4 linked regions of the Arabidopsis thaliana genome follow. The protein of the gene in region 4 purifies or fractionates together with the protein of the main gene of each other region. This does not show direct contact. Each region holds a gene or a part of one and is shown on either strand. Other genes may lie near its edges.

Region 1 (7,361 bases), on a different chromosome or scaffold from region 4:
AAGATAAGAGCAAGATCGGTGATTATTATCGAGAGATGTTGAGATCTAATCCTAATAATTCGCTTCTTCTGATGAATTACGGCAAGTTTTTGTATGAGGTTAGTGATTTTTAGAAGCTGAATTTGAGTTTTGGGAATTGGAGATTAGGTTTTGATTTGGGATTGAATCTTCAGGTGGAGAAAGATGCAGAGGGAGCTGAAGAGTACTATGGAAGAGCAATACTGGAGAATCCAGGAGATGGAGAAGCTTTATCCATGTATGGAAGATTGATATGGGAAACGAAGAGAGATGAGAAGAGAGCTCAAGGTTACTTTGATCAAGCTGTTAATGCTTCTCCTAATGATTGGTATAATTTGTATACTTTGATTACTTTTACTAATCCCAAATTAATTTTCTTTACTTTGAATCTAAAATGTTTGTGTTGTTGTAACTTTGTAGTATGGTTTTGGGATCATATGCACGTTTCATGTGGGAGGCAGAGGATGATGATGATGATGATGAAGAAGAAGAAGAAGAAGAATGGATGGCTGCATCACCACTCATGGTTTCTGCAGTTTAGAGACTAACACGACGAAGATGAAGAAGAAGTAATGGAGACTAAGATTATGTATCAAGTATCAACCTTTTTTTTGTCTATTTCACTGTCTTTTTACTAACTTTTGTTGTAATAACCTGAAGAGTAATGAAAACATGTATGTGAAAGAAAACGAATGTAACCTTATTATAAGAGAATAAAAGTGCTTTTGTATAGTTTAGAATTTCGTTGTTTAGAATCAGAATTAAAGTGGATAATTCGTTGAATATAGGAGAAAAAGAACAAGTCTTTATGATCATCACAATCAAAAGAAACTACTAAGAAACAAACTAAACAAGATTGAATTTGAAACCTACTTAACATGTCTCTCTCTCTCTATTTATCTAAAACCAAAGCTAAATTTAAGAGAAATAGTAAAGGAGAAGAAGATGAGAGAGTAAGAGAGCTCAATCTACTTTATAGAGATAAATCTGATGGAGAGATGTGTCAAAAGGAACAGAGAAGCAAACCCGGTCAAATCTTGACCCATGAACCATCTGTTTATTGAGGACTGTTGCCAGGCCAGAGATTCTGGTACATCTGCATAGGAATTTGGTGAAGCGGTTGAGGTGTAGAGTTTCCAAATATCCCATGATTGTTGCTGTTGTTGTTGTTGCTTCTACGGTGCAACGGAGAATTACTTTCGTTTTCCTCTGATGACTCGCTCGAGTGTTGTTGTCCTTGAGATCGAGGGCTTCCCGGTCCACCAACACCACCAAAGCTCAACATATTGGCTGGTGCTGAAGCTGGCTCCGGAGTATTCTGAGCACGCCCCGCACTTTGTTTCTGCTTCCTTCCATCTGGTACAAAGCTTCCCACAATGACCTATATAAAAACCCCAATCAAAGTCAGTATCTTGAATACTTTCTGATCTTAACTCAAGTGTAAAGGTTAAGAATTTGACAAACCTGGACTTGTGATCCAGCTACTAGCATTCCATCAACACATCCACCCACAATCCGGCCTTCGTGTCCAGCCAGCGACACACTCAAGTTACCAGTTTTGGTCACAGTACCATTACTCTCAGAATTCAAGAAAGAACCTGACAGAGAAATGATTTCAAATCGGCCCTGAAACAACAACACATCCAATACAGCTCAATACAAGATTTAAATTCCAGCTCCATTCGATAACAACAGAGCTCAAAATGAGGCCAAGAAGCAAGCAATGCACAAAGCACATGAGTAATTTTATACCTCATACTTAACAGTTCCAGTAGGATTGCTATTGTTAGCTTGACGAAGCATCACATTAGTTACAGCTCCTGTAGCTGAGAGAATACAGATTGCGCGTGGCCCTTGGTTCGTAAACGCCAATATCTTCGTAGCTATGTCCTGAATACAATGAAAGATCATAACTTTAACCAAAGAAACAAATTGAAGATTAAAGATTTGCTACATCAACACATTACCTCTCCTGTTTTAACCTCAATGACATGAGGCGTGAACCCAACTCCTCCTGTTCCTCCTGCTCACACACACACACAGAGGACAAAACCCATTAAGTAAAATTGTAAAACAGTGAATTTGATTTGATAAGAGAAAGAGAGAGAGAGATAGAGATAGATCCTGTACCTAAAGCATCGAGCTGCTTCTTACCGGAGCCAGGAGGACGTCCTCTGTTCCGTTTAGCAGGTGGATCGGAAGAGTTAGCATTAGCTCCGGCGCTATCACCACCACCACCTCCTTCATTTCCACCACCGTAAGAATTAGAAGCAGAAGGAAGAGGCGAAGTAGGAGCCAAACCAAGAGCAATGTTACTACCACCACCACCACCACCACCACCATCAGCAGCATACTTCCTAGGTCTACCTCGTTTCTTCTTAACCTGTTGATGGTCGATCCCAAATCTCATCGAATGTTGTTGAGTGGCGGCAACAGAAGAAGGCGATCCATCAAATCCAAGAGATTCAAGAGTCTTCTGATCTATCTGTTGCTGAGGCTGAGGATGATGATACTGATGTTGTTGAGGCTGATGCGGTGACATAGAACCACCAAAAGGTAATCTTTGATGCATAGCTTGAGATGTGGAGGTGTTGTGACCCATTAAAACAGCGGCGGCGGCGTTAGGGTTTCGATTGTAGGAATTGTGGTGACTCATTAACATCCCTGGCGGTGGTTGTTGCTGTTGTTGTAGATGTTGCTGTTGTTGCTGCTGCTGCTGTTGTTGTTGTTGTTGTTGCTGTTGTTGGTGGTGGATCTCTCTGGAATCCATTGGAGGTGGAGAAAAGTATGAATCTTTGTGAATTTAGGGTAATTTTCTTGGAGACCCACTTTTCTGTTTTACGAATGCCGAGAAAATAGACGAGAAAGTGCAGGTTTTTGAGTTTTAAGCGAAAGCGTGTGAGCTAGCTAACAACTCTCTCTCTCTCTCTCTCTCTCTCTCTCTCTCTCTCTCTCTCTCTCTCTCTCTCTCTCTCTCTCTCTCTCTCTCTTTCTTGAGTTCTTTCATCAGACGAGGGACGATCTAGTTAGTGTCTAATTTTTTTATTTTTTTTTTGTGTTTTTGAAGATTTTTAATTATATAAATAAAAGAAGAAATTGAGGAAACAAATCTTTGGTTTATGGTTTTCAGTTTTCAGGAGATTAAGTTTTGTTTTTGTTTTCTTTAATATTGATGAATTTAACTTTTAAAATATAATATAATTAGGGTTTTGTTAAAATGTGAATGAAATAAAGAGTTTGTGTCTTTAATAATGATGATGTTCAGTCCAGTTATAGTTTCTAGTTGTAATCTAATGTAAATGGTTTGGTGTTCTCTCCTTTAACACTAGTTCTGTTTTAATAAATGGTTTTCAATTTTTTTGGGGTTTTTCACATAATTTCCATTGTTGCATTGAATGAACCAAGTTTGGTTATTGGAAGAGAAATCAAACCGGAATGAGACATTGAAGTTTAATAAAATATTAGGAGGTTATTTTAGTTCAGTGTCTTTTTAGAAAATCTCTAAAATGCAAACAAATGCACAAGAATTAATAAGAGAATAATATATCAAATAAATTATTATGTAAACTAAAGATTTTGGTTTGACTGTGTTTGGGAAATGCAAAAATAATAAAGATGGGGTTTGTACTTTGATGTGTCAGATTTTTTTTCTTAAGTATATCCTTCAGATCTTAAAAACAATCACTAGTTTGAAAATGACAGCAGCTTATTTTGACTATTTTGTCCTTCTATTGCCTATCTTTTTAAGAAAAATCTATCATTCAGAATTCAGAATACTGTTGTATATACTCTCTATAGATTCCAAATTAATTGACAAACTCAAGTTACTAATTTTTAATGCTACTATATCACATAGATAAAGACCCACTGGAGTTGGAATAGAATGTAGCAACCAAATATTTAATATATGCAACTTTAGAATCCAAAACAAAAATCTGTGTAAAGGAACAAAAGTGTATATTTTAATTGGTTATGTACTCTTCTCCCATACTTGTTCACGAGAAAATGGAATTTACCGATTAGATTTTTTTTTGTATCCCGGTTTAATCCAAAGGATAAAATATGTGATGTGTATCCGGTTTTGTTGGAGATGATAATCAATGTAAAAGACTAAAAGTACTAAACTTTTTATGTCTAGGTAGCGACTAAAGTGATTGACTTTAGTAGACCAACAAGCAATAAAAAGCAAATGTTATCAACAGTTTACGCCATGCGCGTACCTTAAGAAACTGGACACGTAAAACCAGATGCTGTGAAAAATTAGTACCTGAACATAGAAATATTTCGAGACAGATAACGAATGTTTTTCTTTTAAAGTACTTTAGAGTTTATCATATGATTCAAGTCACCTGAAAGATCCATAATCTCTATTATCACTTGGTGCTGCAAGGCTGCAACACATAAGAGTGTTGCATTGAAAAATGAAAACACTTACGGAAACTAATGAACTTGGAAGCAATTGACCAAAAGTATAATTATTGGTCAGGTGGGCTTTTATTAATGGGCTTAACTCTCACTAATGTAGCCCACTAGTGAAATGTAATTGTGGTAAATAAGAATTTACCGCTCGTTAATGGAGAAGAAGAAGGGTTAGATTTGGAAAGTAGAGAAATGAGCAAAAGCAAGAAGAAGAAGATTCTCTCTTTGATCCACTTTCCTCCATTGTCGTCGCAGAGAGAGTGGAGATATTCGGATTCAGTTTATGAAGTAGAACTTGGGTCTAAAGGATTCAGTTTCATAAACCCTAATAAGTATCTGTTGTCTGATTAACTTATAGGAAAGATCATTTTTTTTTTTGTTTCTCTTAGTGACGGATTGGTCTAGAAACTAGTATGCAAATTGTAGCTTCTGGGAGAGAAAGTTTGTATTTTTAGTAACGGATTTATTTTGGGAGAGTTTGATTTGTAAGGATTAGGATGGGTTTTTTCAAGAAATTAGCTGGTGTGTTTGGATTTGGCCAGGAAGTATTGAAAAATGAGGAAGATGATATTGATGTTTACGGTGACGGAGGTAATCAGCAGAGATTTCGTGAAACTGGATTACCAAGGAAAGGATTTGGAGTTCCGGTTCAAGTTGCTGTCGAAAGGTCTCAACTTGGTCCTCTTCTTCAGCCTTGCGCCAATGGAGATGGTGGTATTCAGGTTTGGGATTCCTGTGCTGGAACGGTTGCTATAGTGGTTGATTGCTTTATACGGAAGTGTGGATTCTAGTTAGTTAGATTAGCTTAGGAACATCATACATTGGGTTTGAGATTGATTAGTAAGTTCCATTAAAGATTCCTCATTCTTTAGTTCTACTTTAGCTGTTAGTAATCATGGTTCATGTGCTACATAGTCCTCAGCTTGACTCTCTTAGCATAGTGTACAAAATTGATTTCGATACTCTCTGTTCTTGCTTTAGCATTATTGAGGTTTTGAGTTAGATGTTCTCATGAGTAGTAACAGTTAGATGCAATAAAGAAAATGAGTAGAAGTAAGTTCACCAATATGGCTTACCTTAACTTTCTATGTAGTAGAAGCGTAACTATAATCATTGCCTCTAAACTGGTTTCACATTGTCTTTTCTTTGACATTAGACAACGACTCTGTATCACTTCTGTTTATATTTTTACTCCTGTGGTTCCTCCAGTTAGCTGTTACTTTATTTCTAATGTTAGACTAGTGAATTTTTCTTAGTTAAGAGCTTGCATATCTTCTTGGATATTGGTTCTGTCACAAGCTGTATTATAGCTCTCTCTTGTGTTGAACCAGGGACTGAGATGGTACACAAAACGGCTAAGGGTTGATGAAGATGGAGATGTTGCAGATGAGTTTTTGGAAGAAGGAGAGAAATCGACTAACGCAGAAGATGATCATAACTGTATTAAGACTATGCCAAGATTCCAAATTAAACGCAAAACGAAGCCTGTAAAAGTAAGAGGACTAGTTGTGTCTTCTGATGGGAAACTCCAGCAATGCATTGAACATCAAGGAAGGTTATTTATAGTATGAATTGTTTTTGAACACAGAGAAGATTAGGACAGGTTTTTGTTTTATCAGAAACTCCGGATTGAATGTGTAAAGAGGGAAGCAAAAAGCAAATAGAGTTGCAGTCTTGCAGACATATTAGCGAGAAATGGCAATGATCAGTTTAGCTTTGTTTGTGTCTGTGAACTCTATATTTTGGCTTATCGAATCTGTACAAACTGATTTGATTCATCAAATTTGTTTTTGGGTTATTAGTGTTTGATGTTTGGTGTAGATTATAGTTTTTTTGAAAAAACTTGAATAATAATTTGGTGTAGATTTTGCAAAAAAGAAACTCCATAGGATTTGGTTTTTGTTCAATAATTGGTAAAGATTTGTAAAATCTAGATATCAACGGCAATAAAGGGTTTATGTACTTGAACAGTTGGTAAGTAGACACTAGAGCAAAGAACAGGGAGAAAATATTGGCGTGCTTTGCCCAACGATGGCCTCTATATCGAGCGAGATCACAAAGGAGCCAGCCCAAACCAAACAAAGAGAGCAAGGTGAGCAGGTCGAATGTATCCTCCATATCCATCTTTTGCGGATGAGCGACCAATGGAACGGTGATGTGATTTTGTCGAAAGGTAGGCTTTGGAGAATGGGAGAACAAGCCTAGTACAAACGCGCCAAAAATTTCATGGACCGTGCAAAAAGAATCTCGTTCCAAGTAGCATTTGTTTCCATTGGAACCATTTGAATGCCGTTGTGATGTACTTTTGAGATGATCCGTTTCTTCTTCCTTTTTAAAAAAAATGCATTGAGCATTTGAGCATCAAAGACGATTACTTATAGTATAAATGATTTGGAACACAAGAGAGGCTATGAAAGGTTTTTGTTTCATCAGCATTTCAAAATATTGGTATCAAACCATATAAGAATACATGTTGTTGTGATACATTATCGAAGTACTAGACTATGCAATGAGACTTGGTTTTTCGTCCTTGAGCCAAAAATAATAATGACTAGCTTTATAATTTGACAATCACAATTAGTTTTGAGATACTCTACTGGACTTTGTAATTTGTATTACTACGATGATCTTTGTGTGTGTATACATAATAATAATATGATCAACCTTTTTGGTTTAAACATGAATCCAAGTTTCTTTTTTGATATCTGTATTGGTAATATTTTCCTGCCACGTGTGGAGGTCTCACAAGAGCCACATGGACAAGACACGAGAAATCTGAAATCTCAAAAACTCAACAACACGAGAACAGCTGTTCTGTTGCTTAGGAAGATCTATTACCTCTAACCACAACACTACAAAGAGAGTACTAGTTAATTAGTTTAATTTACTGGATTTTTCTAATAATTTCTATTGATATTCGAATG
Region 2 (8,465 bases), on a different chromosome or scaffold from region 4:
ATTTTCCCTCGCTTTTCCCAAATAATGACAAAAATCACAAAACCAACCAATCAAATTTAGTTTCTTTAAAATAGGAAATAACCCAAGTAGAATGAATAGATCTTTTGAATGTTTGCCAAAATTATAAAAGGAAAATTAATGTGACCAAATAAATTACAGTTCATGAATTTCTTTTCTTCCATGAGTCAAAGAAAAAAACAAAAATTTATATAATAAAGTTACAGTTGTGAGAAATAAAAAAGGATTATTTTGGTGTGGTATATCATCAAGTGGAAGAACAACAAGAGAAACCAGAGCTTTGTTTGGAGGCAGAGTTATCATCCTTAACAAGACTTACCCGATTCACGGTGAGTTCGTCTTTATAAGTATCTGAGTTGAGTTGCTTACGGCTCACGTTATTGTAGATATCAAGTATCACCATCTCGAAAGCTGTTTTAACATTAGTCGAATCAAGAGCCGATGTTTCCACAAAGAAGAGTCCTTCCTCTTCGGCTAGAGCCTTTCCTTCCTCCACGCTCACTGCTCTTATGTTTTCTAGATCACACTTGTTCCCCACCAGCATTCTCGCCACCGTCGTATCCGAATGGACTGAAACAACCAAGAAAAGAGCAAATGAATCAATTTTAGATCTCAGACCAATCTAAAGATGTTCATTATGAGATACTTTCCTAAGCGGTTCTTGAATAATCCTCTGTTATGTTCTAGCTAGGTCACAAATTCTATAATCTACCAAAACTAGATTCAAAATTTCCCAATTCTAAGTCAATCCGTACGACCTAATTAGATCATGAGGATCCCCTAAATCGATAGTCAATCGCATAATTCACATCGAGACTTACTCTTAAGCTCATCGAGCCAACGTCCAACGCTTTCGAAAGTGGTGCGGCGGGTAATGTCGTAAACGACGAGGGCACCGACAGCGCCACGGTAATAAGCGGAAGTGACGGCACGGAAACGCTCCTGACCAGCAGTGTCCCAAATCTGAGCCTTGACCTCTTTACCTTCAATCTCCATGCTCTGCGTCTGAAACTCGACTCCGATCGTCGCCTTGGAGTTAGCGCTGAACTCGTTACGTGCGTAACGAGATAGAAGATTAGATTTACCGACGGCAGAGTCGCCGATAACAACAATCTTGAAGAGATACTCCTCTCTTCCTTCGTCGTCCGAAGACATCGCTCGCTTCACCGTCTTCTTCTTCTTCCCTAGGTTTCTAGAGAGAGAAGTAGGACTGGTTTGGAGAGAGAGAGAGAGGGAAAGAGGAGGAGACGGAAGACGGTGCAACAAGCTGGCACAAGAGGACATACTGCGCATTAAGTGCACCTTCTTTAATGTCGTTACCTTTTTCTTTTTCTATATTTTCCTCCAAATTATCAGTTTTAATTTACGACTTTTCCCTGATTTGTGTTTTTGGTTAGTTATTTTAAAATCCACCACGTTGGTGGACTTCTTGGTAACGTAGGAGGGAGTTATATTTTTTTAACTTACAAAACCAAAGTGTATGTATAACTAAAGAAATTTCATCTCTAATAAAGAATAAATCTTTCTCTGTAACGTGCATACACGCTAGTTTTGTTAATAATAGGAAAGTTAATGCTACTAATAGTATTCCGGTTCATACATTTTATGCCAATTTTCATATCAACCTATATCTATTTGCATGTTTCTAACTACTACTAAATATATCATAATTCATTATATGATCAACGAGATTCACTTTGGTCTTTGGTACGTGAATTCTGCTTATTAATGTTTTCATTGGTTCAAGTAACTTTGGTATTTGGTCCATTTCTTCAATTTTAAAAATAAGAAAAATTAGCGTACCTTTAATTTCAATATTCAATTCAGGAACTATTTATGAAGAAGTATAAAGAAAAGAGAGATCAAATTAGAAAGTCATATATATAATGGATGCTAGCTTGCTTTGCTTATGATCATAACTCGAATTAGTTTCAGAATTCATAGCATAATCCTTACAAAATAGGCGACACTCAAAACATAAACTTGAAACAAAAACATAATGGACAATTGTCACTGTTCTATCTTATAATGATAACGAATGAGGAGCTTAATTATAAGAGGATTAGACATTTAATATAATCTATTTTATTTACATCTTCTCTAATTCTCTCATATGATAAAATCGGAACAATGCAAATAAAATTAGGATGACCCTACCTTTGGGTTTGAGCTAGCTTGGTTTCTCACTGCACCCACACGTGCAATTCTCTTGATCTTTTTTCAAATTCTGCGTTTGTATATGAAAATGTGTTTATGTATCAATATGGATCATGAACTAGAGAGAACTCTGGAAATGGATTCAGCTGACCTAAACAGAAAAAGTAAGATAAGGGAACCTGAAGTTGATGCTGAAGGCCTTTGATGTGTTGTACAGCTAAATCCAGCATGTCTGAATAGCTTGTTTGCTAAGAAAATCAGCAACAAGTGTGTGAGGTAATGAACACTTTTTCAAAATGATGTTACCATATATACTATATATATTTGATATAAAGTAACCTTATCCATGTTGGGGACAAGATCTTGTAGCTTCTTTAGCTTCCCACTTATTCTCGTTCTCCTCTCCTATAATATAAACATATTGTATAGGTTAAGATAGGAGGATGGCAAAAAGAATAGGGTCTACATGATTAGGGACGATCAAATTTGTTGCTAAATTTAGTGAATTAATTATCCATCGCTAAATAAATTAAAAAGTGTTTATAACTGACCCGCTCAGCGATGCTTCTAGGATGGGTGGCGCAGCCGCGTTTGGCCCGGATTTTGCAGGGTACAGAATCTTCTGGAAGCTGCATGAAGTTATCCATGTAGTTCATTGAAGTGTCTGAAGGAAGACTATACTGCAAAACCAGTGATAAAAATATTCGGTAAGAATTGGCCACCAACAAAAATGTATGGCCACTAAAGAGTTTTGCTGCATTTACCTTTACTAGTTAATTTTTTTTTTTATGTCTATCCTAAAACAAATATTTTACATTTTTTTGTCCTTTTCTAGAAATTTTGAAATTTCATATAATTTGACTAAAGTAGCATGTTTATAGTAATAACACATGAAGAAAAAAAAAAAGGAATCCCACATGGAAACAAATAAATTGTACCTGCGAAAAGAGACCAGAGTCCATGTCCTTGGATCGTTTACTGGGCCTAGTCACGGTAAACCCTATCGAACCGGAACCGTCATCCCAAGAATCAGTAGTGGCTGCACCAAAGCTAGCCGCAGAAAACGAATGGCCTGAACCGTCGTGGACTGGGGTCTCATTGACCTCGTTGATCCGAGCCAGAGAGTCGTGATTCGTGAAGCTTAGCTGAGACTTCAATCTGGAATGTCCTCGTCCCCCATTAGACCCTCCTTGCGGACTATAATCACTGGTTGGTTGGTTCAACGAGAAATCTGATTTACAAAGTAAACTATATTATAATGACATTACGTGAAAATTATTTTTAAAAATAATTCACATTCACATCCAAAATATTAGAAACCATATAATGTAAGTAAATAAAGAGGGATTTTTGGATAATATGGATAGTTGAATTCCGGTTCAGGCCGGTGACCGGTTAGGTGTGGGAAGTCACATCCAGGCTTGGTGGAAGATATTATGATTAGATAACAACGAAGCAAAGCACGAATCATCAGGACCAAGGAAAAAATAATATAAAAGTGGACAGATCAGATCCACCAACTAGATCTACATCGCTTTCTATTTGAATAATCTTCATCACAACCAATGATATTTCGCCATCTCAGCAGAGAAACTATTGGTCATCAACGAAAAAATCCATCCTCTAAATAAATAAATGCAACTTGAGATATAGGAATCCTCGAAGATTTAAATAATATCCCAAATTAAGGGTAACCGAGCCACATTTTTGCTGTATTTTCAAGCACGTGGTTAGGGATCAAATGGTATTTTCGTCATTCCGAAAATACGAGGATCACGTCTTGCACAAGTACCAACCAAGCTAATTTAGCAACGACCCTAAATATCAAAGCTCACAATGTCAACTTATTTTATATACATAGTCGTTAATTAACTTGTAAGAAACTAGATACTTCACAGTGAGAAATACCGAAAATACCCTCGTGGTTAGATTTTCATTTCACCAAAAAACGGATCTTTAGTTGAGCAATGAATGATTGAATGACTGAAAACTATATAGCTCATATTCTACATTACGATTTTTGGCAAATTCTAAGGAAAAATGGTCTGAAAATGAGTAAACTTGTCTGTCTAAATATATATATCTCATCACAGTTACTATTCTTGAGTAAAAAAAGGACTAACTGTTTTTATCTGAGGCGAGGTAGGTGAAGAAATCGGCGGGAGAGCTACGTTGTCTAGCGAGAGAGTAAGATCCTGAGCTGTTTCCTCCTCCGATGTCGTTGCTCTTGTGTTGTTGCGAGATCTCGTTGAATCCACCGTAGGATCTGTCGAGGAAGATATCTTTATTACTATTATTATTATTGTTATTGCCTAGCTGTTTCTGTCCGTCGGATGAGTTGTTGACTCCACAAGTCGTCGAATCGGATCTCAGCGAGGATGAGTCAGCAGCTCCGGTGAAAAAGTTACCGATGAAGTTATCCGACGACGGTTGATAGCCGGTGAAGTCACGAGCGTTTGATGAGCCTCCTCCGATGACTTCGTCAACCACAGAGTTTAGAAACGATCCCGGAGCTGAGCCGTAACGGATCAGTCCTCCGCCGCCGGGAAGCGATGATCTCTGCGATGATGATGACGTGGAGGATGATGATTGGTACATGACTTCTTCTATCGCCAAATGGAGAGAGAGAAATCTGAAAAGTTTGGTTTCTAAAAGAAAAATAAAAGATGAGAGAGAGATGATGCTTTTGTTTATGGGGTAACAAAAAGTCTTCACTTTTCAGCGATTGGCTATTCGTTGGATGTCACATGTGTCTCACGTGATCTTCCGAAAGATATGGTATTAAATTTAAACCGAAATAAGCCAATCAAAAACCTTTATTAATACTTATTTATTTTGTAACGAGTCAGCTTAACCTTTGGGCTTTGGGGCCGCGAATATGTGGGCTGGGCTTGATAAAAAGATAAGCAACATTTGCGATGTCTTTGATTAAGTTTAAATTTCCCAAGATGTTGAGGTTTTCAGTGGAATGCAATTATTTTTCTCTAGTGTATATAACTCACATTGTTAATTTAAAGATTTCAAGATCACAGAAATGTTAAAGGTAAAAATTAAAATGATTCGATAAAATTCGACTTAATTGCTTAATAGTAAATTGAACAAACATAAATGCTTATATCAAATGCATGGTTCATCAATACTTTTTTGACGCAAACCTTTTTCCGATTGTAATTCAAAATAGTTCTGTTAATTTTTACCTAAACAATTAATATTGTTGTTATTATTATAAATAGAGCCCACAAATATGGACGTTTCCTCTTTCACCAGTTATTTTCAAATTTTCACAATAGTATATGAACTTCCACAAATGGAAAGAAGTAAAATTAAACGAGAACTCATCTTGTCTGAATTATATATCCATAAATTGGTGTGTAAAATGGAGTCGTAATTAAGATGCGTACGGATAATTAGCTACGACTGTGACATGCAAAATAAAATAAACGTTTTTCTGAAGAGTGAAACACATCTGATGCGCATGCAGGAATGATACACACATTGGTCTCCAAACGTACGTGTTTTTCTAGCCCCACCCTTATTGACCCCATGTGATTCGTAAGAAATCGAAGCTGAAATTCAAATTAGTTACTGTTCTAATTGTTATATATGTCTTTATTTTTATTGTCGAATGATGTGATCTGTAACCAAACTTCCAAATTCAAGTTGAATTATTTTCTTTCTTTCTTTTTCAACAAAACCTCTCGTGAACAGAGAATCCACATCGTGAACAAAACCTTTTTTCGGTTTTATGTTATATATAGAATAAGCTAGTGCATATATTTATAGATGAAAGCTTCCAAATGAGAAATTAAAAAGTTAAAAAAAGACCCTCGCATAACACGAGAAGGGACACATTTACAAATAAAAATGGGAAATATAGATAAAGATTGCATGTATTAATTAATATCTCAGTGAGTTTATTAACATTAAACCAAAAAAAAAAAAATATCTCAGTGAAAAAATAAATATAATTTAATATCTCCGTGAGTAATATAAAGACTCCGAAAGAAAAAGAGAGTATATGGAACTATTGCTGACGTTGTCTTTGACAAATAACATAGACAAATTGTATATATATTCGATGATTAAATTTGAGCATATAAATAACTTTATATATGAACTTTGATCATTTAGAACAAAAAATCAAAATATAAATTATACACTGTAACGATGTTGAAGATTTGACAAATGATTCTTATTGTTTTTTTTTTTTTTTTTTGCTAAATATGATTTCTTATTGTTCATTTTTAATCTTACAGGTTATAATGACGTTGAAGTTTTGACAAATGGCTTTGTCTTTGGCCATTATTTATATTTATAATCTAATACGTTGGTACCTCACGTCACTTCTACTATAATAATATACAATAACCAATTAACCATAACAAATTAATAATAGATGTCTGTTTTTATAACTAATAAAACAAAAAAAAATACATCTATCGATTAGGACTAATGGACTATAATATAAAAAGATACACAACAATGCTAATATGTACACGCCTGATATTGGATGATGTCCCTTTTTTTCATTCACAATTTTGAGTTCTTGTACTTCATCAACAGTTGAGAGCTTTAACCTAAAGAAAAGTATTATATTGTGAACTCATAGTAACTAAGAGAAGAAAATAATTATTTTTGTTCACATTGTGATAGATGAGACGCAATAATTTATCTTGGATGTGGAAAATATACTTTTTTGTATTAGGTTTTGCATATACATCTATATATGTACATTTCTTATGCTACGTAAAAGATAGGGCAATAATTATTTTGTCCTATCTTAAAAAAGAATCCAAAATTTTAGCTTGGATCAATCTAGACCTAAAATATATTATAATACAACATATGGTTGGATATAGAACAAAGTAGATATGCCGCATTGGTCGCTGCGTTTGTAAAATGCAACGCTTGACGTCGTCCCTTACTGAACATCAGTTCACTTGTTCTGTTCAAAAACTCGCCGCCAAAATTGTCTTCATTAACCGCCAATTTCGAGCATCTCGGACGGTTTACTAGAGTGATGTAAGTCTCGAGGTCATGGACACAAGAAATGTTTTGAACATCGAAGAAATCGAGGGTGAGTTCGACTCCCACGTGAGTGTAGCAAGAACAGCTCCAAGGAAGCTCGTAAACACCACCTAAAGATCTGAAATTCTCATTAAATAAGAAACCTGGAAGTTTGGTGATCGGATCGTTTACATTCGTGATCCTCAAGACTTTAACTCCTAGCTCCTCACACCGTTTTTTGAACCCCAAGTTACCAACTCTAGGACCAGCAAACGAAAACACGGTCACCGGAACAGGTTTTTCGTCCCTTCTCTGGTTCATACCGAGTTCCGCTATGTCGTAAGCTAGAAGCTGAGCTAGAGAACTCCCCATACTATGTCCCGCAAGTGTTATGCTTATTTCCTCGCCTTTGTGCTTGTTCATAAGCCTCGAGATCTCGGAGAGAAGCTGCTCACGGCAGCTTTCTAGCCCGAATTTGCTCTCGCTCTCACCGGATGTGTATAAACCTAAGAACCCGGATTCGACCTTGACATCAGGACGAGGGTTATGAGGATCAAGCCTAGCCGGAGTCAAAGAGCTCTTTAGGTTAGCTAACCACTCATGGTTGGTGACAGTGCCACGAAACGTCACCAAAATATCCCTCCTTCCCAAACGTTTCACCGATTCATCAGAAGAAACCGCTACATAACCGATCCAACGTGCACGGTTAGGCTCGTTCTTGATAGGGTTGAGGTTGATGTCTGGTGTGGCGTAGATATACTTGGTGACTTGGTAGCCATCAGGGTCATGGATTCCGGATTCTTTAAGCAAGTTCTTTTTTCCATACTTGCAACTCAAGTAACGTTTGGAGTTAGGGTTTAGATCAAACCCTTTGTAAGAAGCGGAGAGTAAGTTCCCGTAGCGAGTGATCTCTTGTTGGAGAATAGGGCTTAGAGGTTCAATGAGATTTTCCCAGTTATTGCTCCCTTGTATCTCTCTCCAAACCCGAGACAACGGTAGAGTCACTGCAGGTGCTCGAGAAGGAGGAATGGCCTGAGAAGAAGAAGAAGAAGGAAGAGAGAGTGGAGAAGATGAAATCGGAGGGGACATTGTAGAAGAAGAGACAACGAGTCTTTTAGAGGTGTGCTGGGATATAGAGAAATGGTCAAGATTGTGTTTCTGTTGAGGAGTTTTGTCTCTAACTAGAGATTGAGAATAGATAGGGTTCTGAGTGAAGACTTTGGCCGCCATTAATGGACGGCAGTATAGAGAGAGGGAAACACAGAGATAGAGAGCAGTTGGTT
Region 3 (9,312 bases), on a different chromosome or scaffold from region 4:
GAAGAGCGTGAATCTCACGTAAAATAACCTTAAACACGAAAATTACGACAAGAAGTGAGATTCGTACTTTATTACTACATTCTGTGTCAAATATATGTGGAAGTCATATGCTTCTGTCAGCTGATGACTCGGACTTTTGTAGGCCCTCTTTCGTGCGTTACCTTTTCGAGTTTACCAAGTCTTTCACTTGACACGTGTTCGGATCTTAGCGCGTTGTCATATTATTAGACTTTTAAAACTTCTGTATGTTTAGGTTTTGACCCCTTGATTTTGTTTAAATTCTTTATATCTCCATGAAATCTTTGTTAATAATAGTTTACATCTTACATTCGTTTTTTTTTCTTTTCCTAAATTGACACATTCTAATTCGTGTTGAAAATTTGTGTCCTACCAAACATGGTAATTGCTCGCGCAAGTAGAAACTGTTCTCACACAGTGCTTAATTGTTATTAAGATTTTTTCTTCATCTACCGTACCAATTACACCTATCTAATAATAAAAAGTGTCAATTTATTAACGATTTTGATTGTTTTCTAGATGACTAGATGTGATTGTAATGAATCATACTTTAATAGACGCGGGTTTAGCACCAACACGACCAATAATATTCATGTTCGGTTTTTCAAATTGCATTTAATGTATCTCTATCTACTGATTATGGTTTCCATTATTAATAGTGTAATACTAACATGAACTAAAAAAACTTGCAATTGCAATGACAATATTTTTCTTAAAAAACCGTCATAATGACCTTTTCAAGTACTATTTCATAAAGCAAATTATTAATCAGAACAATGATTCCTAAGGTGATAGTAAGAAACCCATGTTCAAATATAAATGGTAAAAGACTAAAATCAAGTTATTGCCTAACAGTGTAAGATGCAATGCAATACATACATATTCACCACTTTATCCTAATAACAAAAAAACACGGTCCATGATTTCATACTCAACTTCACATTTGACCCACTTTTAATTTATTTCCAACTACAAAGAAATTCCATTTTATACTATTATTTACAAATACAACACATATTGAGAGAGAGAGAGAGAGTGAGTCACAAGAATTACGACACTAAACCTAAACCCAATTCTCGAGAAAAAGAAAGAGAAAGAGAGAATAAATAAATGGAAGATGTACGGAGGATTGTGGTGGTCGTAGAAGATAAACAAGCGGCGAGGACGGCGTTACAATGGGCACTTCACAACCTCCTCCGTCAAGGTGACGTCATAGTACTCCTCCACGTGTACTCTCCTCCACCGCGTAAGAAGAAATCCACGGCGGCGCGTCTCCTCCGCCGTCACGGATACAATCTTGCTCTCTCTTTCCGTGAAATCTGCGACTCTTTCTTCAACGTGAGTGGAAATGAATCTTGATCGGAAAGATTACTAGATTTTATTGATGGTTAGGTTTGTTTTTCCTTTGTGATCGTAATTTTGACAGACGAATACTGAGATCATTGTGAGAGAAGGAGATGATGATGGAAGAATGATTGCTCAAGTTGTCAAAGAGATTGGTGCTTCGATGCTTCTCGTTGGTCTCCATCAGAACAGCTTTCTTTACAGGTAGGAACTATTTTGATCGATACGGGGTCATTATTAAAGATTTTGAACCCTACATAGACGAATGAGTAATGTTTGTGACTTTGTGTGTCTTTGTGATGTGTAGATGGGCAATAAGTGGGATCGATGTAGCGAGAAATTTCAATTGCAAAGTGATGGCTATAAAGCAGCCTTCACCGGAACTTTCGCCTCCGGTGAAGGTTAAGGGACACAAGACCTCTAAGGCGACGGCGACAGCGACTTCAGATTGTTTAACTAATTTTGACTTTTCACAAATTGAAATTTCTGGATTACAGTAAGATTCCTAACCTCTTTTGTTATCAAGTCTATTTTTAATTAAAACTACGTGATTTGGTGAAATAGTTTTTTTTTTTTAGTTTGATATTTTGGATAGAAACATTTCATAGTGCTGATTAAAAAAAATGAAACTTTGATTGAAACAGGGTTCCTGAGATTCCGACACCAACTAAAGTGCCATACAGATTATGTCCGAGTCCTCATGCCATACTATGGAGAACAAGGCCCCGGAGGAGATCCAAAGACCAATACGGTGTCGGTTCATAGTCTACGATATTTGCTTTTGAGACAAACCCACCAAAACTTTACCTTCAAATAAACAAATTTTACTCGATACTAAAAAGAAAGTCATTCCAATCACATTATTCTTAAACAATGAACAGTTTTTCAAACCCTCGTCCAAAAATTTGGTTCGAGCGATCAAGGTATAAATGAAAACAATTTTTCCATGAGTGTCAAAATGCAAAATTCATCATTAGAAAATATATAAAGAATGATTGTTTATGTTAAATACTTGCTTTTCTCTCCTCCGTAAACTGTATCTGTTGTATTTTGTATGCTAATATTCTAAACACATTACCTTTTTATAGCAACAAGTTTTCTCTCCTGTATTCACGTACAATCACTGGTATACTCGTCGGAGGAATCTATTCACACATACACAAATCACAAATGTATCAGACACTAAATGGAAATTGCTCTGCATACCAAACTCATAACATAACAAAATGTGTGAGAGATACGTACCATTCCATAATCCGAAACAATCATAGATATATATTCTGAAGGAGTAGAATCATACCTGGAACACACAAAAATAAGAACAAACTTAAGAGAAATAAGAATAAAGCTTTGTGATGATTCTCAAAACCACTTATGAAGCGCTTTACATTAGATTCAGAAACTGAAGGTTTTTGTTGTTGTCCATTGTCTTTGAATGCTTTGCATTGGTTCTAAATGATGGTATGTTGGCTACGGCGTCAGGATCGCCTGTAAATTTTTCACACAGGCAAAAAAACTCTGATTCAAGTAAATGAATAATCGACAAGAAGAAGAGCGAGTGAAACATTTACCAAGTTCGTTGGAGCAGATTGAATCAAGTAGGACTCTTTCATGGAACTTGTAAGCTTCACAACAAACAATTACAGGAACACTAAATGCGTTTGCAACCATTGCAATGCAGGATGTGCCAACTCTTGCGTAAAGAGTTCCATTCGAGTATATTGATGAAGCACCGAGAAAAACACGTGTAGCCTCACGCATGATGTAGGAAATGGCATTTATATGAGTGTAGGTACAGTCGAGGCCACGAGTCACAAGTCTACGGAGTAGCTTTTGCCCTTCAAGGTTAGGGCGTGAGTCTACAATCACTACGCGGAACTTTTTCCCAATCTCATGGGCGTATAGGAGAATCATTTCAACCACACAAGAGAATCCATATGTAAGAAGAACTTCTCCGTCTCTGATTTTTGTTACGGCGTGTTGCACGATTGCCTTATCTGCAATAATTGTCTTCTCGTCTATGAACCGGCCAATGTCAGAACAGAGGGAACTTTTTGCCTCTGATTCTGACAGGTTTACAGGTAGTTTTCTGATTTGGTTCTTCAGGAACCTGATTGCGTTTCCCATGCTCATGGAGAGGGGACGACATTCTATCAAGAATGAAACATAACCGTTTATCTTGGCTGTCAAGTCCATGGTCAGGTCTTTCATAGGAGGTGTACTGTAATCTTCTATAGCTTCTTGAAATGCTTGGAGCATGGCAATACATCGTGCATTGTCCCCAGATATATCTCCAGCCAAATGTTGCAAACCCACCTAAGATTAACAAAAACATGTATATACGTCACTTGAGGATCTATGGCACAGAGATAAACCACAGGGTTTCAAACCCTTAAGGATTCCAGTTCAAAAGTGTAACGAACATTTCACAGTCACATATAAACAAGTAGGTGTACCTTATAGACTGCATGGTGTATGGAATCGAGTGTGAAAAAATTGGAGCTTAAATTGGGAAGCTGATTGCTGCGTTCGTATTGAGGAAGATGGAGAAATAATTCAACTTTGTTCTTGCTCTCGGTCTGTTCAACCACAGCTCGCCTCTTAGCTTTATCCACTCGGCTTTTATCATCATACTGCATTTGTGTCTGAGGGACATCCATCCTCTTCTCTTTTTCTACTGCTACAGCTGTTTTTTCAGAAACAGAGGACGTGACGGGAAGTCTTTCTTTCTTTGGTTGGGGCTTTATGGCAGCCTTGCCAGGATTAGCTCTACCAGACTCATCTGCACGCCTGCTTCCTTCGCCTAAAAATTAGCAAGAGGGAAGCACTTAGATGATTTTACGTTCCACTTTAATGAATATGGAAAACAAAGCAAAAATAATGAACAAAACAAGAACCTTTTGCAGCAGCTTTTGCTGCCCGTTGTGCCTCTTGGATGGCACGTCTTTCTGCTTTAGTGGTTTTATCTTTCAATGCTTTTGGTTCCTTTTCCTTCTGGGGTTTTGTGGTCGCAGACTCACTCTTTCCTGCAGGATTTATTCTTCCTGTAAGTAACGAAATGCAAAACTAGAAGGAAACATCTGTGCATGGCAATAATTGAATGACTCAAACCCATAGCAATTCATAAGGTCAAAGTTGATACTAAACACAAAGTAGCTATTTAAATTCTAATTCTAAAGGATAGTCCACTTTGAAAGGGAGCTTAATAACCCCTCCAGAGAAGCCCAAAGCCTCTGATCAAGGAGGGTACTTCAGGAGTCTAACAACCAATCTCCGGCAATGCAGTGAAGGCAATTTCGTTGTTAGAGAAGACCAAGGCAGGCAATCCAGTTTAAAACAGAGATAGATGACCAATTCCCAGCCTCGACGATGATGGCAACAACAGTTTAGGAGGATTTTGTAGGCAGTCCAGTACGGAAGCAAAACTTGATGATGCATTTCGTTCAATGTTGAAGACTTGCCTAAAAACTAACTTTGAGAAAAAGGTATAGCTTGTGACGAAGCAAAGAACAGAGTTATGCTTTGAAGATAACGATGTCCTGTTGTCGGTCTGTCTGCGAATTGTCCTTTTGTAGAAATGAGTTAACATGAAGAATACGAAGGTTGATGTACTATGAAACTAAGAAACATAATGCTCAGAGAGATTGAAGTGTCAATGATGACACGTTGTTGGGTGGGAAGCTCTAGTCAATTTCATCCTTCACATTTAAACACCTCTGAAACAGTAACTGGCTAACTGCTCCTACCCATTATAGAGATGCAGCTTCCTTGACGTGCTTGATTTGGGAGTATGTTGTACCACCTCCGCAAACGTATGCATTTCACACAGACCACAGGTCCACAACAGCTGACTGCTTTATCTTCAAAACACGCCTCTTTGTTTCAAAGTCAAGAGTCGAACTATCAACATTGGCAGAAATTGCTCACCAGACTTCTAAACCAAACTCAACTTTAAACATTCTCCAAATACCGCTATAAGGTCTCCCTAAAACTCTCCATGAGATCAAGTAACAGAGTATTCCAAAGAAGATATTAATATCCGGGCCTACCCAGTCCCTACGGCACTACAGGCTGCCTCATCCGATGTTACTTGGGGATCACAATTCACCACAAAGGTCTCTTTTGGATAATACAAAACTCAACCATACAAAGAGCTTATTCAAGAGACACTTAAATAGATTGATAGATTCGTATACATACCAGAAACTTCGGCGATCTTCTTTTTCCCTTGAGAAGCAGACGTGGTCGCAATTTTGGTTTCAGATTCCTGAGGAGCTCTAACAGCTAGAGTCAAATCAAAGCCTCCATTAGGTAAGCTTGCTGATAATTTCGTCGAATCACTCCGTTGGAACCCAAACAGAGAAGCCGAATCCTCAGAAAGCCCTCCGTTACTCGAGGGTGATGATGTCCCGAGAAGCGAATCCGGAGGATTGTAACTACCAACGTGAAGAAGAGTCCGTTCAGGAGTTAAGTATCGGCGGAAAGCGGCAGGTCCAGGGACGGGCACAGGAGCAGCAGCAGCAGCAGCAACGCGAGAGGTTAAATTGTCGGAATGGTGACGCGACGGTGGAATTAAGACCGGAGAAATTAAGTTACCGGAAGGTGAATCGGAGAGAGGAGAAGAAGAGGTGGTTGCATCTACTGGACCGGATTGGCTTCGATTTGGTCGTTGTAATGATGATTCTGGAGGCGGCTCGATTGATGTGAAGAAACCTACTCGACGGACTTTAGGAACCGCAAGAGCTCCGCGACGAGTATCCATTGAGCGGGACGACGACGACGATGATGATGATGATCTTTTAGGGTTTTATTAGGAGAGATTCAAAGGATTGACCAAAACGGTGGGGAGATTTGCTAAATGGCCTAAACCTTGTTTTCAAGTAATCATTATTATGAGATAAAATAAGATTTTTATAACGTGACAAAAAGTATTTAACCCAAAGAAATGCAAATCGATCATTTAAGTTTTATGTAAACTTTATTATAAAAAAAATAAGAATATTAATGTCTGAACAAATTTTCTTTAGTACTATTAAAAGCGATTTTGAAAAAAAAAAAAAAAAGGTTTCATAAAACGCAAGAAAAACACAACATACTCAAACACACACACATCTAAATGCCAATTCAAATACACAAAATACACTTGTCACAACAATATTTTCAAAAACAAAATAGGGAACAGAAGGTCGTAAAAGTACAAAACACAAGACAAACTAAGCACGCTCAAACGTAATTCATACATAAAAAAAAAAATAACACACACACAAACACACATCTAAACGCAAATTCAAAGACACAATTCACACTACAATACATCAGCACAATCACAAAAAGGATCACTTCACAATCATTTACATATCATGCCAAGAATTTACTTTCGAACTCGTTGTTTTCTATTAATTTTGAAGCACCTATATTTATCTACTCATTTTGCAATAATCAGCTGTTTTGAATTCTAATTCCAGTATATGTAACATACTAACATCGACTGTTTCAACTTTTTGTTATTCATTATGTTCAACTACTGGCAAAGACAAATTCAAGCAGACAACATATTATGCAAGGTACATGTGGTTTATAAAACGTTATTTTAATCTGAGACGTGGATTTTTGTTAACTTTACAACCATTTTTTTTAGAAAAAGGCAATTACTTGAGTTAAAACAGGATGAAACAGAGTCTCTCTATCAATTATAAATTCCTGCAAAACTCAGTCTTGGATGAATTACTCGGTCAAATGATAAGTGATAAATTTATTCACACAAAACTATAGTCTATGTAGAAAACTTCAATTTGCTTGTAAGACACGAAATATATGATGACTTCAACGACCTAACAAAAGTCAAGATTACATTCGTTGATCATAAGCGCCAAAACAAACGGTAGAAGACGGATTAATGTATCGTACATGAGGTTTGATATATTGTGCAATGGACAACTATTCTTTTATCCGGCAGTCGGAACTCGAGATCGCTTCAAAAGTCAACCTTCTCTCCAAACGAATCCGCTCTCAAGAACAAGGTAAGGATTTAACCGTTGGTTCAGCAGAATATTTTTTTTAATGGTAACTTGGAATTTGTAGTGTAAAGAGAGATTTTCTTTATAATTTCTCTTATCACACTATTTTCTTCATGGAAAAATAGAACTCTAAAAGGACCAGTTATAATATTGTGGGATTCAACTATCTGCTTTTTGTATTGGGATTTAGATTATCCATCGTTTGATTTGAGTTTCTTATGACGAATCATGGCATAGTAGCTAGTAGTAGCACTAATCAAGCTGGTATAAAGGATTAAGTAAATTGATTCATATTCAATGGTGGTTATTATAGACTCAAAATAAAACCAGTAACAAAATGATTTGATGATTATATATGTGCATTGTCTATGATGGTCATTCGCCAAGTAATTCGAAAGACGCTGATATTAATATTAGGATCTTTAACAGAAGTTGCTGTAGATTTTTCTCATATGACATTGGAGGATGAGCTCAGTGAGGAAGAGGATCATAAAGATTCAAGTAGAGAGGCTTTTGGTTCGAGTCTTGAGAATCATAAACTGTCGAGGAAGCAAAGAACGCATATTCGGGCGATAAACGTGAAGAGAAAAAGAGACTTTGTTTGCTTGGAGAAAGTTAATGGAGAGCTTGTTAACATACTAGAGGGACTCGAATTGCATACCGAAGTTTTTAATGCAGCGGAACAGAGAAGGATAGTTGATAAAGTGTGTGAATTGCAAGAAAAGGTTCAAAAAGGAGAACTAAGTAAGTAGCAGCTAAGATTCCTTGTTCTTTCTTCTATATAGTTTTGATCTGAAATCCTAATTTGTATATCTCTCTATGTAGAGCGTGCTTTTACTGCTCAAGGCAAAGGACGTTCAACTATTCAATTCGGCTGTTGTTTCAACTACCGTACAGTAAGTAAAACTAGTTCTTGATCAATCTTCTTCTCGATTTATGAGTTCTAGTGAGTGCCACAACAACTGAATGAGTAAACTTGTAGAGCAAAACTGGAAACCTGGCGGGGATTCTTAAACATGAAACTGTTGATCCATTGCCTCATCTTTTCAAGGTGATCATAAGAAGGTTGGTTAAATGGCATGTTCTGCCTCCAACTTGTGTTCCTGATTGTTGTGTAGTCAATATTTATGATGAAGGTGATTGCATACCTCCTCATATCGACCATCACGACTTCCTCCGCCCGTTCTGTACTGTTTCTTTCCTTAGTGAATGCAATATTCTCTTCGGATCAAACCTTAAAGTTGAGGAAACCGGTGAATATTCGGGTGGTTCATATTCATTACCGCTTCCTGTTGGGTAAGTTCTTGTGCTATAAAAAAAGTTCTTATATATTTATATGCGCTTGCAAATGTTTTATGTCACATTCTCGTTATAACTTGAAAACAGTATATGTGACCAAAAAAAAAAAAAAAAAAACTTAACTTCTTTACAGATCAGTGCTTGTGTTAAACGGGAATGGAGCTGATGTAGCTAAGCATTGTGTACCTGAAGTTCCCACGAAAAGGTATAATCTTGATTCGTTTCTTTTGCATATAAACATTGTTTTCTTATTCATGAGTCTTCTTTTTATTCACAGAATATCAATCACATTTAGAAAAATGGATGAGTCAAAATGGCCAGTCTGGTACACACCAGAACCTTATTTGCAAGGGATTCAGCCATTGACATACGAGCTGAAATCTTGTGGCTCCTCTGACCATGTATTTTAGTTCCTGAACTTTAATTGATATATATTACAGTTTGATTAGTGGTTATATGTAGTGCAAATAATTAATTCTTTTGATGTTCATATGGTTGCTCAACTGGTGTGACAAAAAATTATCGTTCTAGCAATTAGATAACCAGAATAATTTTCAGTATTTGACAAATTAGTGGCAAAATTCATTTCTGTATGCTTTGTGAGTAGTAATGTTTTCCTTTCTCATAGACACAA
Region 4 (7,348 bases):
AGGTGGTAAATATATGTTCATTCAGAATTCATGTCAGAACAAAACACAAATTGTTTTTCCATCAAGGTCCACACTCAATAAACAACAGGTGCACAGAAAACCACAGAAAGAACTAGCACAATTTGTAGAATAACAAAAAGAGGCATGGCAAACCACCATCTTCCTCCCAAAAAATAGCTCATGGAACATCAGATATTTACCTTGTCAAGTGCAAGAATTTTTGTCCATATGAAAACCAGGATCTGTCTTAGCTCATTCGTTGTTGTTTGCAGAAGCTTCAGCACATATGGGAATATTCCAACAGACAAGGCCTAGAAGAATGTTCACTTCACGTGTAAAGACATATACATGATAAAAAGGAGAAACTCTGTGTAAGCCAAAGGGAGAGAGAAATTAAAATTTAAAGAAGTATACCAGATCCACAGCCCATGAACCCATATCAAGAAATCTTCCAAGAAGTACAAGAGCACGAAACCGATGGCACTGGCTAAGTAACACCTGAAACAAACCAGATTCTATAAATACGCTAAAATGGCAATATGCAAACAAAATTATGATAGAACGTCCTGAAGGAAGCCAAAGAATGTTCCTAAGCCATATCCACACAAAACCCAGAGTGAGAAAATGGCAAATGAATATGAATCTCTCTCTCCCTCTCTCTCTCAGCAAAAGGGAAAATAAGTACAGAAATCTAGGCACCTGAAGAACAATAGGTAACTGCTCCGGTGGCTTCTTATGCTCAGATCCATGATCAAGCCACACCTCAAAAGCTGTCAGTTGCTCAGTAAAAAACGGACTTGGCTAGAAAAAGGATAGGAACACGTTTTATAAGCAAAACAAGCGCCGTCGTATACAATTGCAGGAAACTATACAAAACAAAACAAACCTGGAACTCTGTGCTTGGGTCCAGAACAAGTTGGGGAAGCTGAGAAAGACAGATTTCAGCAGCCATGTCCCATGCATCCCTGAAAAGCATGCAACGGATAGCTGAGTCAAAATCTAGACACATAACATTTTACATAACAGAAGAATATGGTTCTTGTTGAATACCACATATGATGTTGATGCGTAGGAGGCAGCATAGGGTGAGATATTGGATTACAGTTTGCGGACCGCATTATTCTCTCAGCAAGTAAGAAATTCCGGAAAAGGCTAGCGACCAACAAGTCCTGTCTGAATAATCTCTGGAAAAGTTCTGCAGGGTAAAACTATCATTCATGAGGACACAGAAAAGAAGTCAACTTGAAGAAGATTTACCCTTGATAAATTATGCAGAAAGTTTGGAGAAGTACCATGAGGAAGCACATTCCAAGCAATTGTATCCGTCACTGCTGTGAAAATCCAGTTCAACTCCCCTAACAATGTCTTACGATCGTTTTGCCGGCCTGGAATCCTGTCGATAAGTGATTCATCGATAATTTCTTTCAGAAGCGAACGCCTGCAGAACCTGCAATGGAAATCCTCTTGTGAAAAAGCTGCAAGCTAAACTGAACTACATAAAATGGTGATCTGTTTACTGGAAAAAGGTTAAAAAGAAGCCCAGAATTGAAACCGCACAGACTCAGTAGCAATTAGTTATAGAATAAATATCACAGAAGGAGAAGGCTATCAATCAGGATGATATCGTGAATCTTTTGGTATCATCAAAAATACTTAGCCAGGACAGAAAGAATTATTGCAAACCATACATCAGCAAACTTCCATATGCAAAGTGACTTGGCAGCTAAAGGTATTATCAGTCCTGGTTATCTCACAACTCTTATGATATGCTGTTTTACCACCCCACAAAACTAAAACATACGCACAAGGTCTTCTAAACAAAACTCTATGATCCATCTTTGGTCCCATCCAAAATGCTGCCGAAAAGTTTTGATCTTACCTCATGATGAAGCGAGAACATACTAGCTAAGATTTTATAAACTTAGCTAGACGGAACTTAAACTACATTTTGTAGGAAGAAAACATGACATCTGAGTACGCAAAAAAAGTCAGAGATGGAATGATGATTTACCATTTCAACGCCATTTTAATGGGCGTTGTCAGGCAAGACGTAAAAACATCAGCTGGAAACTCAACGCTCTGAGGAAGTGTCTCATGTACATCACAAGCAGCAAGTAGAATGCAGTCCCTTGAGGATCCAGAGGAACCAGAAGAACCCCAATCATGAAGCTGGCGTAAAGAGTATATGAATTTTATCAACTTATGGAACGAAAATTACAGACTCGAGTCCTAAACTCGACAGGAGATGTGTTCTATAAGTGAAGTGGTTGTTTCCTTTACCTCAGCAAAGGCATTCAGAATCATCCTAGCAGCAGAGCAGTCGAAAACATAGATGGAGGGTGTCTTCAACCAGGAATCAAGTTCACTGATTGGCAAGGGAATGTACTGTGTATAACTCTGCTCAAACAGAGAATCAATCAGCTCGTGGTAACAGACGAGAAGGAACAAGAACATGGTAGAGAAAAGAAAACGCTAGTAAAAAACAGACCTTGTTAAATACCCAAATTTCACCATTAGCTGTAGGTTTTGGCACACCATGCCCATTATAATGGAATAGAACTCTCTCGGTCTTTGCATATTTCCGACAAGTCAAGCACAGCTTCCTCACCTCATCTACTGTCGGATCAAGCTGAACCTTATAGCGGGCCTGAGAAATCATAAAATAAATAAGAAAAGCGTAACTTAACAAAACAATAATGATAGGGTGCAGGGAAAAAAATTGTCACCCTGGGTTGCCATCTCTCATACTGAGTGCTCAAATTTTTTCCAATTGTCTCGAGAGCTTTAGGCGGTGCCATAGAAAATGGATCTGCCATCAGAAAGAAAAAAAATAGAGATAAAATTGACTGTGGCGACAAAAAAAAGGGATAAACACAGAAAAGAAAGAGTGTAATAGGATTGAGTAGGCCAAAGTTTCAACCTATCCATGCCTCGATTCTAGCACAAGGAGATATCTTTATAACATCCGGCGGATCAACAGTAATGTTTAAACACAGAACTAAAGCTACACATCCTGTTTTCATCTGCAAAGAAGAAGAAGAAAAGTTAACAAAGAATATGAGACTTGCAAGAACTCCCCTAGCTATCAGATCCAATGAACACCTGATTTAGCTTCCGACGAGAAATAGAATTATTTCTGAAGAGACATTGAGATTGAAACGAAACGGAAACATGTATCTTTAAGGTTCAGCTCCACAATAAAAACGTTAACACAAGTACACAACCCTCCTCGGTTAACATTACCTAACATAGTAGCGAACAATAGCAGATTTTATAATGAATTCTAGAAAATGTAGTTGTTCTACCCGCCTCTTACATCGTCAGTTGCACTAAACAAGCTAGTCTAACATACTTGCAGCTACCAACAATGTTCGATTGAAAACTTACTCGTTCTTTAAGCCGCCATTTGGGGACCAATACGATCTCAGAAGTCCCCAAGGGAGCAGAAGCCTCGGATGCGTCGTGTCTAAGCTCGCAGAGCACAATAGTCTGAGGCAAGTAAGCCATGCTGGTGGCGGTGGCGGCTCCCTCCGTTGTACCATTCCCGTAGCTACTACTGCTCTTAGCCTCAGAATCCTTCCTCCGGGAATCACCGTCATCGTGACTAGAGACACAGTCTTCGTCGTAACGGTGATTGGAGACCAAAGAAACAGAAGATTGCGAGAACCGAGACACCATTAAGTCTCCTAATGCCATCCAAATCGGAGAACACACCCCCGAATTAACACACCCCCAGAAATCACGCAAATCAAATCCTCAGCCCTAGCTTTTTTGTTTGGATTGTGCGAGATACAGAAAATAAAATAGAAAGGAAGACGGAGAAATCCAGATCAATCAACAAAGCCGCTGCACCAGCGGCGCAGGAGCAGAGAATCCAGCTCGAAAAACCCTCGACAGAGAAGCGGAAGCGGAAACCCTAAGAATCAGGAGAAGCGGAGGATGAAGAACGATGATGATTGGCTACGACGGCGATTGATGTGGAAGCGGCGGCGAATTAACAGTGGTGGTGGTGGTGGCGGCAGAAGAGAAAAAAAAAAGGCAGAGGAGAAAGTGAGGATGCGAAAATTGGGATTTTGTCAAAGAGAGAGACAAAGGGAAAGTCTTCAATGCATTTGCGTTTTCTTTCCACTTCTCTTTCATTCTTTTTCTCCTTTCCGTTTTTAGTTTTACCCTCTTCAGATCAAAAATCCACTCTAATTAATTACTAACTTTAATGCAATGTTATTAAATACTAATATTATAAGATTGAGAGGTATACTAAATATCTATAATTTTAAAATTAATTTATGTTTAAAATGTGGAAATTGAAATTTTGTATGCATCATTGAGAAACAAATTCAAAGAACACCATCAATGGATCGACTAATTAACTGAGAAGTTAATCGCAAATTCAATCTGATTCTTTGATTAAAATGCAACTTAAAACTCACTTTTATTCTAATCACGGTCTAAATCTAAATTTAAAAAATCAGTCTAGTTTAATTACGAAAACAAAAATTCAAGCTACTAAACTAGTAACAGAGAAATGATATTAAATTTAAAAACGATATTAGATTTTTTAAAACTATATTAATTTTTTTTTAAACGAGACAATTGTATTTTCGTAACCATAAATTACTTAGCTGACACTTTGTTACGTGAGTTACCATAAATTCTTCGAATCACCTCTAGGATTCCGTACAACGGGGTACATGAAGGGATCATCATTGCACACGCTTCATAAGTATATTTATGTTTTAATCAGTTTTGTGTTATAACGTTTAAATTAGTGTAATCTAAACACCAACGGTTTTTCTACTCTTACATAGCAATGTCTGGTCTTCTAAACCGAATTCATCTAGGGTTTATTGTAGTTGGTAAAAAAATGAAAACCGAAAAACTAAAAATTTGGTGTAGGGAAAAAATATTGGGTTCAAATTCCATGTTAATCAAAACTTCAGGTTCCGTTTTGCAATTATTCCATTATATTATCAATTTTGGACACAAACATCAAGCTGACACTTTGTTTGTCTGAATAACATTATCAAAGGCCATATATATCTAAAAGTCAGCAGAAAAATATCACAACTCCCTCTCTCTCACTTGGGAATCTCGCATCGAGAAAACAAGAAGATTCGATGATAAGAAAGACACTATGCATACTTGAAGAACTTATATTCGTGCTGACGAGTCTCGTTTCCGCGATCAGGACAGCTCTCCGGACATCGTTTTCCTACTCCGCCGCGGCGCCGCCATTTCTACCACTTCCTCGTCTTTGATGACCAACTGTTTTGCCCCACAGGTGTATCATTCAAGTTTTACTCTAAACTCGAAACTTCGGATCAATATATGTATTTGTGGAATATCATTAGCAGCGAGTTTTTTATTTATTTGTAGATTCTATCAAGTGTATACAGTACTGTACATTTAGTTACATATACTTGCATCTGTGATATATTTCGGTAAACACCAATTGTAATTCTACTTTATGATGTATTGTGTTATTTATATACACATACAAGGGTGAGTGATCATTAGAGAACGGATAAAGATAGTAAATCACATCTTGGACATGGCGTGATCCATCACATCCACGAGGAAATCTACAAAATACAAGATTTGAAACAACATAAATCATGAATAAAAAAATGAAACAAAAAGAAACCAATTTGAAGATATATATGTTAAACTAAGGAGCTAACCAGCGTCGGAGAGGGTGAAGCAGAGAGGAGGAGTGATTCTGAAGACATTCCCATAGAATCCACCTTTCCCCACCAACACTCCCATTTCTTGATACCAAAAGATTTGTATTAAACACTATCTTAAATGCATAAGTATCAACTTTATATGATGAGAGTGATCAATTTCACTTGGTTTAGGATTGAACACAACTAACCTTTCATTTGATCCATTAAATGAAGGGTCTCTGCTTTTGCAGGAGTTTTTAAGTCGCGGTCTTTGACAAACTCAACTCCTAGCATCAATCCTCTCCCTCTCACGTCTCCAATGACTAAACAAATTAGAGAAAGGATAAGATATTCAATAAAGAAAAATTTTAAAATTGATTTTAATTTGGACAAGAAGTAACTCACGTTCGTATTTGTTTTTGAGTAGCGTAAGTCTACGTTTAAGATGTGAGCCAACGAGGTTAGCATTCTCTTGGAGCTTCTCTTCGTGAAGGACTCTAAGTACTGCGTGTCCTGCGGCCGTGCACATTGGATTTCCGCCGAAAGTATTAAAGTAACTCCGACGGCTTAAAACGCCGGCAATCTCCGGTGTCGTCACAACCGCTCCAAGTGGTATACCGTTACCGATCCCCTGCAAAATCCAAATTAGAATTGATGATGATAAATTGATAACGATGCATGAATCATGATAATGATGAACCTTGGCCATGGTGACGATGTCAGGGATAACACCATGGGATTGAAACCCCCAGAAATGGGTTCCGGTACGAGCAAAACCGGATTGGACTTCATCGGCGATGCAAACTCCTCCGGCTTTCCTCACGATGTCGTAAGCCGCCGGTAAGTATCCGGGAGCAAGCTCTACGATTCCTCCAACACCCTGTTACAGGATATAGACTACATTACATGCATATTCATTATCATAATCATAAATACCTTTTTGATATAAGAAATAAGTACAAATTAATCTCGCCTGGATTGATTCGCCAATGAAACCGGCGACTTGACCGGACGTTCCGAATTGGATAAGATCGTGTACATCACTCGCGTACTTTTCACCGTCGGATCCAAATATTCCTCTGTAAGGATCTGGATTTATGGCGTGATGAACTCCACTCTGTTACAGAGATGATGCCTTGTCAAATTTAAATTTGGGTTGGTTACTTCTTCTCTTCTTCATATAAACTCATTTAGTCCAAGCTAATCGATTCAAACGTCATATTGAACTTTGATTCCATTCTAATTTTTGTTTGGTCAACACAGCTTAACTGTCTTACTCATCTACTATGATCTTAAGAAAAAATCAATTATGCTATATCAGATGGTGTAGATTGAAATGGAAAAGAACCTGAACGACGTTGAATTTCCAGTTGGACTGAGCAGTGGCACCCATAGTAGCAGCTGCGTTTCCATGATAAGAGTTCCTAAGCGAAACGATGTCGTTACATCCTGTATACAGTCTAGCCATCATCATCGCAAGTTCATTCGCCTCCGTACCCGAATTCGTGAAAAACACCACCTACGTACATGATAACACATGTACATTTGACTTGCCGGTCAAGTCATCGAATAACCTTAATACAAAAAAAACTATATTGCACAACTCAAAAAGAAGATATATCATTATTTACCTTGAGATCTCCCGGAAGAGTGGAGACAAGGGCTTCAGCGAAATCGGAGAT

The links.
Region 1: the proteins of RAPTOR1 (region 4) and AT4G17950 purify together in Arabidopsis thaliana (affinity purification with mass spectrometry, with the first as the bait; one large-scale study listed by BioGRID). This does not show direct contact.
Region 2: the proteins of RAPTOR1 (region 4) and AT1G05805 purify together in Arabidopsis thaliana (affinity purification with mass spectrometry, with the first as the bait; one large-scale study listed by BioGRID). This does not show direct contact.
Region 3: the proteins of RAPTOR1 (region 4) and AT1G48970 purify together in Arabidopsis thaliana (affinity purification with mass spectrometry, with the first as the bait; one large-scale study listed by BioGRID). This does not show direct contact.

What each region holds. Positions count from the first base shown.
Region 1 is NC_003075.7:9,966,220-9,973,580, forward strand, and holds AT4G17950 (AT hook motif DNA-binding family protein), read right to left. Parts: upstream 3,014-7,361; 5' UTR 2,789-3,013; coding exon 2,149-2,788; intron 2,042-2,148; coding exon 1,986-2,041; intron 1,909-1,985; coding exon 1,771-1,908; intron 1,645-1,770; coding exon 1,483-1,644; intron 1,400-1,482; coding exon 1,076-1,399; 3' UTR 560-1,075; downstream 1-559. Other genes in the region: AT4G17940 (Tetratricopeptide repeat (TPR)-like superfamily protein), read left to right, coding at 1-98, 174-346, 439-559; AT4G17960 (phospholipid hydroperoxide glutathione peroxidase), read left to right, coding at 4,935-5,159, 5,769-6,008. UniProt on the Arabidopsis thaliana protein: Transcription factor that specifically binds AT-rich DNA sequences related to the nuclear matrix attachment regions (MARs).
Region 2 is NC_003070.9:1,741,151-1,749,615, reverse strand, and holds AT1G05805 (basic helix-loop-helix (bHLH) DNA-binding superfamily protein), read right to left. Parts: upstream 5,173-8,465; 5' UTR 4,774-5,172; coding exon 4,299-4,773; intron 3,407-4,298; coding exon 3,114-3,406; intron 2,856-3,113; coding exon 2,727-2,855; intron 2,581-2,726; coding exon 2,515-2,580; intron 2,424-2,514; coding exon 2,355-2,423; intron 2,246-2,354; coding exon 2,189-2,245; 3' UTR 1,882-2,188; downstream 1-1,881. Other genes in the region: RABA5E (Rab GTPase-like A5A protein), read right to left, coding at 266-588, 840-1,311; DGL (alpha/beta-Hydrolases superfamily protein), read right to left, coding at 6,997-8,412.
Region 3 is NC_003070.9:18,111,424-18,120,735, forward strand, and holds AT1G48970 (NagB/RpiA/CoA transferase-like superfamily protein), read right to left. Parts: upstream 6,411-9,312; 5' UTR 6,125-6,410; coding exon 5,563-6,124; exon of another isoform or gene 4,389-5,562; coding exon 4,260-4,388; intron 4,166-4,259; coding exon 3,819-4,165; intron 3,679-3,818; coding exon 2,934-3,678; coding exon of another isoform or gene 2,851-2,933; coding exon 2,751-2,850; intron 2,663-2,750; coding exon 2,608-2,662; intron 2,508-2,607; coding exon 2,445-2,507; 3' UTR 2,291-2,444; downstream 1-2,290. Other genes in the region: AT1G48960 (Adenine nucleotide alpha hydrolases-like superfamily protein), read left to right, coding at 1,129-1,356, 1,445-1,566, 1,670-1,858, 2,007-2,127; AT1G48980 (2-oxoglutarate (2OG) and Fe(II)-dependent oxygenase superfamily protein), read left to right, coding at 7,292-7,382, 7,809-8,123, 8,205-8,275, 8,362-8,675, 8,812-8,883, 8,956-9,088.
Region 4 is NC_003074.8:2,691,216-2,698,563, forward strand, and holds the start of RAPTOR1 (Regulatory-associated protein of TOR 1), read right to left. Parts: upstream 4,186-7,348; 5' UTR 3,697-4,185; coding exon 3,388-3,696; intron 3,024-3,387; coding exon 2,921-3,023; intron 2,810-2,920; coding exon 2,727-2,809; intron 2,648-2,726; coding exon 2,489-2,647; intron 2,398-2,488; coding exon 2,281-2,397; intron 2,170-2,280; coding exon 2,012-2,169; intron 1,448-2,011; coding exon 1,293-1,447; intron 1,196-1,292; coding exon 1,051-1,195; intron 966-1,050; coding exon 887-965; intron 802-886; coding exon 700-801; intron 499-699; coding exon 415-498; intron 312-414; coding exon 201-311; intron 1-200. Other genes in the region: PYD4 (PYRIMIDINE 4), read right to left, coding at 5,539-5,582, 5,682-5,768, 5,876-5,989, 6,072-6,297, 6,367-6,546, 6,640-6,783, 7,015-7,185, 7,298-7,348. UniProt on the Arabidopsis thaliana protein: Probable component of the plant TOR kinase pathway that recruits substrates for TOR. Modulates plant cell growth and regulates the activity of ATPK1 kinase in response to osmotic stress.